3 linked regions of the Coturnix japonica genome follow. The protein of the gene in region 3 binds, or shares a complex with, the protein of the main gene of each other region. Links are inferred from orthologs where the notes say so. Each region holds a gene or a part of one and is shown on either strand. Other genes may lie near its edges. The genes, in order: PIGC, DPM3 and DPM2.

Region 1 (3,158 bases), on a different chromosome or scaffold from region 3:
AGTGTGGGCTGAGCTGAAGTAACCTGGGCAGCTGACTCTTGGCTTCCTCACACCAGGCGCTGCCCAGCTCACAGCTGGCAGGGCACAGCTTTGGCATCATTCTTGGAGGCAATTTCCTAGGGACTGCAAAAGAAAAAAAAAAAATCATAAAGAAAAGCTAATGAAAAAGCAAAAGCTTTCCCACCACCATCACTGCACAGACATCTACAGAACAGGAACCAGTTGTCCCTTGCCCTCAAGCTGACTGAGAATCCCAGCAGTTCCACCTTGTTCTTCTCTCATCATGGCTGCCAGGGGAGTTTGGCAACCCAGGAGCTCTGAATCCTTTGGTATTCAAACACCTCCAGCAGAGGCCTAGATCAGTCACAGCTATTTAAATCCCAGCCTGTCACCTTTTCCAGCATGGCTTCCAAACAGCTTTTAGCAGCATATTGCAGCGCAGGAGCCCTGCAGGAAATAAACACGTCTGCAGTGGGGTCAGTTGTGCAACACACTGGCGAGCAGTGAGCTCTGAGTGGGTCTGAAATGCAGGTGGGGTGGGTGGGGAAGCAGTCAGGTCCCCCAGAGCTGAGGTTATGGCAACAAGTGCTTCACAGTGCTGACTGTGGGGCAGGATGGGTAGCATGGGTAGCAGCACCCAGTGTTTCACTGTATGAGGGCTGGGCCAGTCTGGGGTCCACATCCCACCCCTGCAGCTGGTGAGGGAGATCTTGTTGCATGGGATGAAGACACACACGAAGCAGTTCTCATCCTTGACCTCAGGCACCACTCGGGTGTGACGGACCGTCCCTCTCCCAGCTGCTCTGCTGTCCCTGCCAAGGCCACGTCACCTCGGGTGGGCTGAGGGGTGACTGCACAGCACGTGTTCCCTCGACTGGCAGGGACAGGCGGTGACGTGGCCGGTCCCATAGTCACAGGTCTGCTGTGCAGGTGATTCATTCCCCGCAGAGCCTAGGAGACCTGGAGGGCTGAGCTGCCCTTTAGACCTCGGGCAGAGAGTTGTCCAGCGGGGCACGAATGCACCATGGCAGCAATAGGTGCCGCATCTCCCCATTGCCGAGGCGCTGCGGTCACTCACAGCAGTCCCAGGGGCAGGCGCCCCATCGTGCTGTGATGCAGCTGCAGGCAGCAGTGGGCGGTGAGCCGAGAGGAACGCGAGCAGGAAGCAGCGTCAGTGCACGATGGGTGGCAGGGGGAGCCCATCGCTCCCGGCTCACCCCGAAGAGTTAACTACATGTTGTCGGCTCGGAAGCGACCTTATTCCCCAACAAGTACGAGACCGATTACAGTCACCTGCCCGCACACCGCCACTCCCGGCCCTTCTCCTACCGGCTCCGGCCCCGGAGGCAGCGACACCCGCGGGCAGCGCCGCGCTGTGCGGCCGGGCAGCTCCGCCAGGGGGCGGCTCCGAGAGCCCCGGCGTCCATTGCGCCGCGCCGGGCCCGGCGGAAGCGGCGGGAGCGGGGAGCGGGGCGGCGGGTTGGGAGCGGGGAGGGGGGGGTGCGCCCCGTCCTCGCGGCTGGAGCTCACATCGCGGTTAACCCGCACCTCGCTCTTTCCCAGGGCCCTGAGAGCAGCCCCAGGCTGTGAGCGGAGGAGCGGGGCGCTGTGCCGGCCTCCTCTGGGCCGGCCCTGGGAGGATGGTCTGTGCGCAGGTAGAGACGAGCCCGAGGCGGTGCTGGCAGAAGGTGCTGTACGAGCGGCAGCCCTTCCCCGATAACTACGTGGACCAGCGGTTCCTGGAAGAGCTGCGGAAGAACATCCACGCCCGGCAGTACCAGTACTGGAATGTGGTCTTCGAGTCGGGGGTGGTGGTGCAGCAGCTCTGCAGCGTGTGCGTCTTCGTTGTGACCTGGTGGTACATGGACGCCGGGGTGCTGAGCCCGCAGGGGCTGTTTGGGGCGGCCCTGCTCACTTCTCTGCTTGGCTACATCCTCTTTGATGCCATCGACGCCGGGGTCGGGCGGCAGGAGAGCGGGCGGACGCGGTGGGCAGACCTGAAAAGCACGCTGGTGTTCACTGCCTTCACCTACGGCTTCTCACCGGTGCTGAAGACGCTGACAGAGTCCATCAGCACAGACACCATCTATGCCATGTCAGCCTTCATGCTCCTCGGCCACCTCATATTCTTCAACTACGGTGCCAACGCCGCCATCGTGTCCAGCACGCTGTCCCTCAACATGGCCATCTTTGCCTCGGTGTGCCTGGCCTCCCGCCTGCCTCGCTCCCTCCACACCTTCGTCATGGTCACCTTCGCCATGCAGATCTTCGCCCTCTGGCCCATGCTGCAGAAGAAGCTGAAGGCCCAGACACCGTACTGCTACGTGGGGGTGACGGTGCTGTTCGCACTGCTGGCCCTTGTGGGGCTGGCGAGCGTCTCCAGCGTGGGTGCTGTGCTCTTTGCCTCACTGCTGCTCTCCATCTCCTGCCTCTGCCCTTATTGCCTCATCCGGCTCCAGCTGCTCAAGGACAACATCCACGGGCCGTGGGATGAGGCTGAAATCAAGGAGGACCTGTCCAGGTTCCTCATGTAGGCCTGGCCAGGGGGAAGCAGTGCCCTCTGCTGTGAGGGGCCTCTTTGGGACACAGCTCCAAGGGGACACCTAATCCAATAAAGACTCGCGCTCTAGCAGGGAGTGCATCTGTGTGTGTTGTGACTGCGCTGGGCTGTGGGTGAGCAGGGAGGTGCTGGCAGACCCATGGCAGTATTTTTGTCCAGCCACCGAACCAGAGGCACAAAGCAAAGTCTCTCTGCTTTCCTGTGGTGGCCGCCCAGCCGCAGGGTGCTGCAGCTGTAATGGGAGCCATGCTGGTCCTTCCTGGAACAGTCCAGTGTCTGATTCCATGCACCCCACAACAGAGGGTCCTCTAAGCCAAAAAGTCAAACTGGAGGGCATCTCCAGATGAGCCAGCCCTGCTGTGCTGTTGTTTTCCAGAGGCAAGTGGTTCAGCAGAGCATGAACTTGGCCAAAGTTGCAGCACCCCAGGCTTTTTGGTCTCACCAGAGCCTTCCTGGTGCTGGGCAGGAGGCCGGAATTCAGGGGCACTCACAGACCTGAGTACACTCACACATATCTTGCATGCACAGCCACACTGCCATGTCCATCCGCATACAGCAGCATCTCTGCAGACTGTGGGACCACAGCTGCTCATTCCTG
Region 2 (2,948 bases), on a different chromosome or scaffold from region 3:
GGGGGGGAAGGGGGGAAGTAAGGGGGGAAATGTGGGGGGGGGAGGAAGCAAGGGGGAAGGAAGGGGTGAAGGGGGGGTAGGGAAGTAGGGGGGAGAAGGGGGGGATAAGGACGGGGGGAAAGGGGAAGGGGGGGAGAGAGGGGGGTAAAGGGAAGTAAGCGGGGGAAGAGGGAAAGGGAAGAAGGGAGGAAGAAGGGGAGAAAAGGAGGTGAGGGGAAGAAAGGGGGGAAGAGGAAAGGGGGGAAAGGGGAAAGGGAAATAAGGGGGTGGGGGGGAGGGGGGAGAAAGAGGAGGAAGGGGGGGGAAGAAGGGAAGACTGGCGAGGGGAAGAGGGAAATAAGATGGGGAAGGGGAGGAAAATGGGGGGGGTTAGGGAAATAGGGGGGGAAGAAGGAGGGAAGGGGGGGAAAAGGCAAGTAAAGGGGGGAAAGGGGAGGGAAGAAGGGAGGAACGAAGGGGAGGAAAGCGAAGGTAAGGTGGGGACAGAAGGGGGAAGAGGGGGGGGATGGGGGGGAGGGAAAGGGAAATAAGGGGGTGGGGGGAGGGAGAGTAAGGGGGGAGGGGCGATCGAAGAGGAGGAAGGGGGGGGAAGAAGCGGAAGATGGGAGGGGAAAGGGAATAAGATGGGGAAGGGGGGAAAAGGGGGGAGGGAAATAAGGGGGAGCAGGGAAGTAAAGGGGGGAACGGGAAGGGCAAGGGAAGGAAGGAAGGGGGAAATGGGGAGGTAAAGGGGGGGTAAAGGAAATAAGGGGGGGAGGGGGGGGGAATAGGAGAGGAAGTGGGTGGGGGGGGGGGGAAGGGAAATAAAGGGGGACATGGAGGCGCAAGGGGGGGGGTCGTAGGGGTCGTGGCGGCCCCCCCCGGTCCGTGGTTGTGGTTCTGTTGGGGTTTATGGGCTCCAGGCCGTGGGAACACACTCCGGGCCTGTTCCCACGCCGGGCTGTCACACACCGGAAAGGAGGAAGCCGGCTGCTTCCGGATTGACCGGAAACGGAGGACAAAGAGCGGCGTGTTTCCTGCCGGACCGGAAGCGGAAGGCGCATGCGTCAACCCACGTGGAGCTGTGCTGCCGTACTGCAACTCCCAGCGTCCCCCGCGCGGCGCGCTCTAGTGACGTCACGACGCGACGGCAGGAGAGAGCGCCGCGTTTGGAGGAGTGAAGGTGGGGTTGGGCCTGGGGGGGCCTGGGCCTGGGCCTGAGCTGGGGTATGGGGCCTGGGGGGGTCTGAGCCTGGCCCTGAGTTGAGGCCTGGCTGGACTTGGGGCCTGGGTTTGAGCTTGGGTTTGGGGCCTGGTAGGGCCTGGCTGGACCTGGGGCCTAGTGGGGCCCGGTGGGGTCTGGTGGAGCTGGGGCCTGGTGGGGTCTGAGCCTGGCCCTGAGTTGAGGCCTGGCCGGACTTAGGGCCTGGTGGGGTTTGGGCCTGGGCTTGAGCTTGGGCGTGGGGCCTGGTGGGGCCTGGTGGGGCCTGGCTGACCCTGGACCTGGGGCCTGGTAGGGCCTGGAGGGATCTGAGCCTGGCCCTGAGTTGAAGCCTGGCTGGACATGGGGCCTGGCTGGGTTTGGGCCTGGGCTTGAGCTTGGGCGTGGGGCCTGGTAGGGCCAGGCTGGACCTGGGGCCTGGTGGGGCCTAGTGGGGCCTGGTGGGGTCTAGTGGGGCCTGGTGGGGTCTGGTGGAGCCTGGTGGGGTCTGGTGGGGCCTGGTGGGGCCTAGTGGGGCCTAGCGGGGCCTGGTGGAGCCTAGTGGGGTCTAGTGAGGCCTAGTGGGGCCTGGTGGGGCCTAGTGGAGCCTGGTGGGGCCTAGTGGAGCCTAGCGGGGCCTAGTGGGGCCTAGTGGAGCCTGGTGGGGCCTAGTGGAGCCGCCTGGTGGGGCCTAGTGGAGCCTAGCGGGGCCTAGTGGGGCCTAGTGGAGCCTATTGGGCCTAGTGGGGCCTGGGCCTGGCCCAGCATTGCCCAGAGCCGCTCTCTCCCACCACAACCACCTCCTGACCCCGTCCCCATCTCCCCGCAGGCCGCCATGACCAAGCTGGCTCAGTGGCTGCTCGTCCTGGCCCTGTTGGGCTCCTGTTGGGTCGCTCTGGTTCTGGCCCCGTTCAGCCCGCAGCTCCCGGTGCCGGTCCGGCAGGTCCTGCTCCCTCTCCCCATTTACCTGCTGGTCGTCTCAGGTTGTTTCTCGTTGGCCGCCGTTGGTTTCCGTGTGGCCACGTTCAATGACTGCCCGGAGGCGGCGGCCGAGCTGAGGGGTCACATCGCCATGGCCAGGGCCGACCTGCGGCTACGGGGGATGGACCTCAACCCGCAATAAAGGGCCAGGATGGGGCTGAGCGTGTCCTGATGGGGGGCATAAAGGGGGAGGGGGGGATGTGGGTCACGGCTGCTCTGGGGTCCCCTCTATAAGGTTCCCTTTGTGGGTTTCTCTCTATAGGGTTCTCATTGAGGGGTTCCCATTGTGAGGTTCCCTCTGTAGGGCTCCCGTTGTGGGGTTCCCTCTATAGGGTTCCCTCTATAGGGTCCCCATTGTGAGGTTCCCATTGTGGGCTTCCCACTACGGGGTTCTCTCTGTAGGATTCCCATTGTGAGGTTCCCATTATGGGGTTACCATTGTGGGGCCCACATTGTGGGGTTCCCTCTATAGGGTTCTCAATATGGGGTTCCCTCTATAGGGTTCTCAATGTGGGGTTCCCATTGTGGGCTTCCCACTATGGGGTTCTCCCTGTAGGGTTCCCATTGTGAGGTTCCCTCTATAGGGTTCCCCTTGTGAGGTTCCCATTATGGAGTTCCCATTGTGGGGTCCCCTTATAGGGTCCTCATTGTGGGGTTCCCCTTGTGAGGTTCCTATTGTGGGGTTCCCTCTATAGGGTCCTCATTGTGGGGTTCCCATTGTGAGGCTCCTATTGTGGGGTTCCCTCTATAGGGTTCTCAATGTGGGGTTCCCATTGTGAGGTTCCCT
Region 3 (3,746 bases):
TTCCCTCACCCCTCCTGTGCTTTAGCTGAATAATACCCTGGTGACTGAGCCCTGTGGACAAGGCTGGTCCCCAGGGGTGAGTTACAGCAAACACTGCCTGGTAGCAAGTGTTTGTGCTGCAAAACCACTTCCTGGATGCATTGGGGGGGGGTCCATGTAGATTTATCCCCCCCTTTTCCTCCCAATGGGCTGATGGGGGATGAGAGGAACATGGGGTAAAGCTTCGAGCTCGAGGTGTGGCTGAGCCTATTCACTTTGCCTCAACCCTAAGGATTAAATGGCAGAGCCCGTATTTTTGTGGTGGGGGGGAGGGAAGGGGAGATCCTGCTTTATTTTCGTGAGGGTTGTTGAGCCGGGTGACGTTTGGAAACTCGATTTATATCAGATTCTATAGAGAGATGGCTGATATTTTTGGAAAGGGAACGGCTCTATGCAAACATCCACCATCGTTAGAAGAGAGCAAAGTAATGGTGGTGGGCTCTGAGTTGGTCGGTTGGTTTTTACTTTGAAATCTTAATAAATCTCTTTAACTTTTTCTTTCCTTTCTTAAAGCAAAAAGGTGTTTAGAAAGAAACGCTGCTCCACTGCTGTGTGTAATGGTGATGGTGGCAGCTCGGGGCTGGCGGGCAGGGCTTGTTTTGCACCATTTCTGTCTGGTTTGGGTCTTGTTTCTTGTCAGGCCGCTGTGCCGTCATCGATCCAACAGGCCGTGTTTGTATCTTCTGTATCTGGTTCCTAACGTAGAGAAATAACAAATATATGAGGAAATCAATATCATGGCAGACGTTGTTTATTGGGTTCGGGGGAAATAAAGGTTGTTTTTTTGGTACTTCACACCGATTTTCCTGGTTTGGTTGTGGTCTTTTTGTGGTTCTAAGTATTTTATGGGGGGGGGTTGCCCTAAATATCAGCTAATTACCCCAGTTGTGAGAGCCCTGCAGCATTTTTTACCCTAAATATCGGCTAATTGCTGCAGGGCTCTCACAAATGGGGTTTTTTTGCCCTAAATATCAGCTAATTGCTGCATAGTTCTCACAAATGGGTGTTTTTTGCCCCAAATATCGGCTAATTGCTGCATGGTTCTCACAATTGGGGTATTTTTGCCCTAAATATCGACTAATTGCTGTAGGCCTCACCACTAGGCCCCGCAGCTCTTCCGAGCACCTCGGGAACTACAATTCCCATCATGCACCGGGTGACTCGTGCTTTCCCACAATGCTTTGCGCTCTTAAGCCCTTCCCACAATACTTTGCGCTCTGAGCGCTCTTCCTGTTTCGGAGAACACGTGGCCAGTGTTCTGCTCGCTGGTTGGTCGATCGCTCCCGGAAGAACGGGGAGGGCGGAAGTGCCGTGTGGTGGCCGTCGCCATGGTGAGTGAGGCTGCGGCCTACGGCCCGTCCCGTCTGTACCCGGCCCTGCCGCCCACACGGAGCCCTGACTGTCTGCAGCCCTGACTCTCTGTCCCTTTACAGGCTACAGCGACGGACCAGGCGGTCGGGTTCGGTTTGGTGGCCTTCAGCCTCGTGCTGTTCGTGTACTACACGCTGTGGATCATCGTGCTGGTGAGGGGATGGCGCTGGGTTTGGGCCCTGGGATGGTCGGGCCTGCAGGCCTCGTTTAGGAGCTGCAGGAGCTGGGTGTGCACTCGGTGCTCCACTCAATGCTCCTCTATGGAGGGAACTGGGCTCAAACCTGCTGCTGCTGGAGGACTTGGGTTCCCCCCCTTGATGTGCTCCCAGCTGTAGGGTCGGGTTCATACAGTGCAGGAGTCATTGCAATGCACTGTAGCATCCAAAGTGTCCCAGCCATGAAAGGATCCATGTGACAGAGGTTGGATGTCAGGGGGAAGTTCTGCACTAGGAGAGTGGTGAGGCCCTGGAACAGGCTGCCCAGGGAGGTTGTGGATGCCCCGTCCTTGGAGGTGTTCAAGGCCAGTTTGGACGGGGCCCTGGGCAACCTGATCTAGTAAAGGCGTATGTTTGGTGGCCCTGTCAGGCAGGGGGTTGGAACTACATGATCCTTGAGGTCCCTTCCAACCCGGGTCATTCTGTGATTCTCCACCACCTGCAGGTTCAGACACTCTTTTTTTAGCCGTCCCCTCCAGCCCCATGTTTCTGTTCTGCTTTTGAAACCCCACAGCTGCACGTGTTGGTGACTTGCTCTCATGTTGTTAATCCCCTGCTCTGTTTCTGCAGCCCTTCATTGACAGTGAGCACAGCATCCACCAATACTTCTTGCCCAGGGAGTACGCCGTTATCATCCCCGTGGTGGCTGGGCTGCTGCTGCTGCTATTTATAGGTGAGTATTATTCTGGTCGCTCTAATTAGAGGCTTCTAAATTAGGAAGAGAAAAGAGACACTTGTGCTGTATGTGGTCCCTGCAGTGGCTTAATTTGGCACAGGCGTTTGTGCGCACACACGTGTAACTTCAGCTGTTTATTCCTATGAGAATTAGAACTGTTTCTTGTGCTCTGCTGAGGTTCCATTATTCGCTGTGTGTGTTTTAATGGTGCTTTTCATTTGAAATTTTCGGGTTGAGTCTGTTCTCTCTCATTCCTGGTAGGTGTTTTTATAATGGTTGTGATGTGGAAGAGCAGAAAACCTGCCCGGAAATCAGACTGAAGGCCCAGCTGAGAGATGGAGAGAAGGCCCCCAGCCTGCAGCACCAAGCAGCCTCCTCCTCCAGAGCACTCAAAGCAGCAGCAGTGCCAAGTGGCTGCTCTTTCTCCCACATTCCTTCCTCAAAAGACACAGACTTGTGTAGTTTACAACTTACAGACTAAAGGGAAGCAAATCTGACCCGTGGGACTCACCAGGAGAGGGACCAGAGCTCCAGCTGGACAAATGTGCACCCCAGCTGAGACTACGTGCAGCAGCTTTGCTGGGCTGGGATCCAGCAGCTCTAATTGCAGAGTGTGAGTTCAGTTCTGGCCCCCAGCAGCTGCTCGGCCTCTGGATACTCTTTCCCCTCTTTGCTGCATACGGTAGTTTATTCCTTCTGGGATTTTCTTTTAAACTGGAAGAGCTAATGATGGTGCTGTGAGCTCTCGTTTCTGATGAGGGCCCTGTGAGCTGCACCCACCTCCCCTCCTACAGTCACCCCACTGAGGATGCAGCATGACCTGGGTGGCAGAGGAAGCATTTAGCTCCCTTACCAATGAATGTCAGCTGCAGTCTGGGCTCCTGCCTGCACTGGGTCAGCCCTGAGCTCCTGGTGGCTATAGTGAGCTGCATTCATCCTCAATAAAGTTCTCTGAGCTCTTTGTTCTTCCATGTCAAGTGCAGAGCTGCAGCTCCAGCCTCATTCCCCAGCCACCCCTCACCCCTGCAGGGAACACAGCCCCCCATTGTACTGAAGGACCTTGATTTCTAGGGCCAGTCCATCACCCTGTCCCAATTGCAGCTGTGCAGAGCTTTATTCCTGGAGAAATACAGGAGGGGGCAGCTCCCGCTGCCTGCCCAGGGCTGCCACAGGGCCCCAGTTGTGCATCCAGCTCCTGGTGTGGGATGAGCACAGGCTGCTATGCTGCAAAGGGCAGCGCCCCTATAAATATCCCTGTTGCTGTGATGGGAGGTGGCTGCTCCAGCTGAAGGTCACGGCTCTGAGCATGAATTCCTTCTCAGCACACAGCGCTGTGCCCCCAGCCCAGGCACATTGTGGGGTCTGCAGCCATGGAATGCAGCCCTGTGCTGTGTGTGTGTGGATCCCTGAGCTCCACTTGCTGTGCCTGTCAGTGCCATCACTGT

Evidence for each region.
Region 1: DPM2 (region 3) and PIGC share a complex: the UniProt entries of both Homo sapiens proteins name them as parts of the glycosylphosphatidylinositol-N-acetylglucosaminyltransferase (GPI-GnT) complex. The link is inferred for Coturnix japonica from reciprocal best matches to the Homo sapiens genes DPM2 and PIGC.
Region 2: DPM2 (region 3) and DPM3 share a complex: the UniProt entries of both Homo sapiens proteins name them as parts of the dolichol-phosphate mannose (DPM) synthase complex. The link is inferred for Coturnix japonica from reciprocal best matches to the Homo sapiens genes DPM2 and DPM3.

The regions. Positions count from the first base shown.
Region 1 is NC_029523.1:7,059,407-7,062,564, reverse strand, and holds PIGC (phosphatidylinositol N-acetylglucosaminyltransferase subunit C), read left to right. Parts: upstream 1-943; 5' UTR 944-1,271; intron 1,272-1,563; 5' UTR 1,564-1,640; coding exon 1,641-2,534; 3' UTR 2,535-2,636; downstream 2,637-3,158. UniProt on the Homo sapiens protein: Part of the glycosylphosphatidylinositol-N-acetylglucosaminyltransferase (GPI-GnT) complex that catalyzes the transfer of N-acetylglucosamine from UDP-N-acetylglucosamine to phosphatidylinositol and participates in the first step of GPI biosynthesis.
Region 2 is NW_015439963.1:35,716-38,663, forward strand, and holds DPM3 (dolichol-phosphate mannosyltransferase subunit 3), read left to right. Parts: upstream 1-909; 5' UTR 910-1,162; intron 1,163-2,009; 5' UTR 2,010-2,015; coding exon 2,016-2,303; 3' UTR 2,304-2,322; downstream 2,323-2,948. UniProt on the Homo sapiens protein: Stabilizer subunit of the dolichol-phosphate mannose (DPM) synthase complex; tethers catalytic subunit DPM1 to the endoplasmic reticulum.
Region 3 is NC_029532.1:3,618,195-3,621,940, forward strand, and holds DPM2 (dolichol phosphate-mannose biosynthesis regulatory protein), read left to right. Parts: upstream 1-1,269; 5' UTR 1,270-1,367; coding exon 1,368-1,370; intron 1,371-1,472; coding exon 1,473-1,562; intron 1,563-2,195; coding exon 2,196-2,298; intron 2,299-2,562; coding exon 2,563-2,621; 3' UTR 2,622-3,262; downstream 3,263-3,746. UniProt on the Homo sapiens protein: Regulates the biosynthesis of dolichol phosphate-mannose. Regulatory subunit of the dolichol-phosphate mannose (DPM) synthase complex; essential for the ER localization and stable expression of DPM1.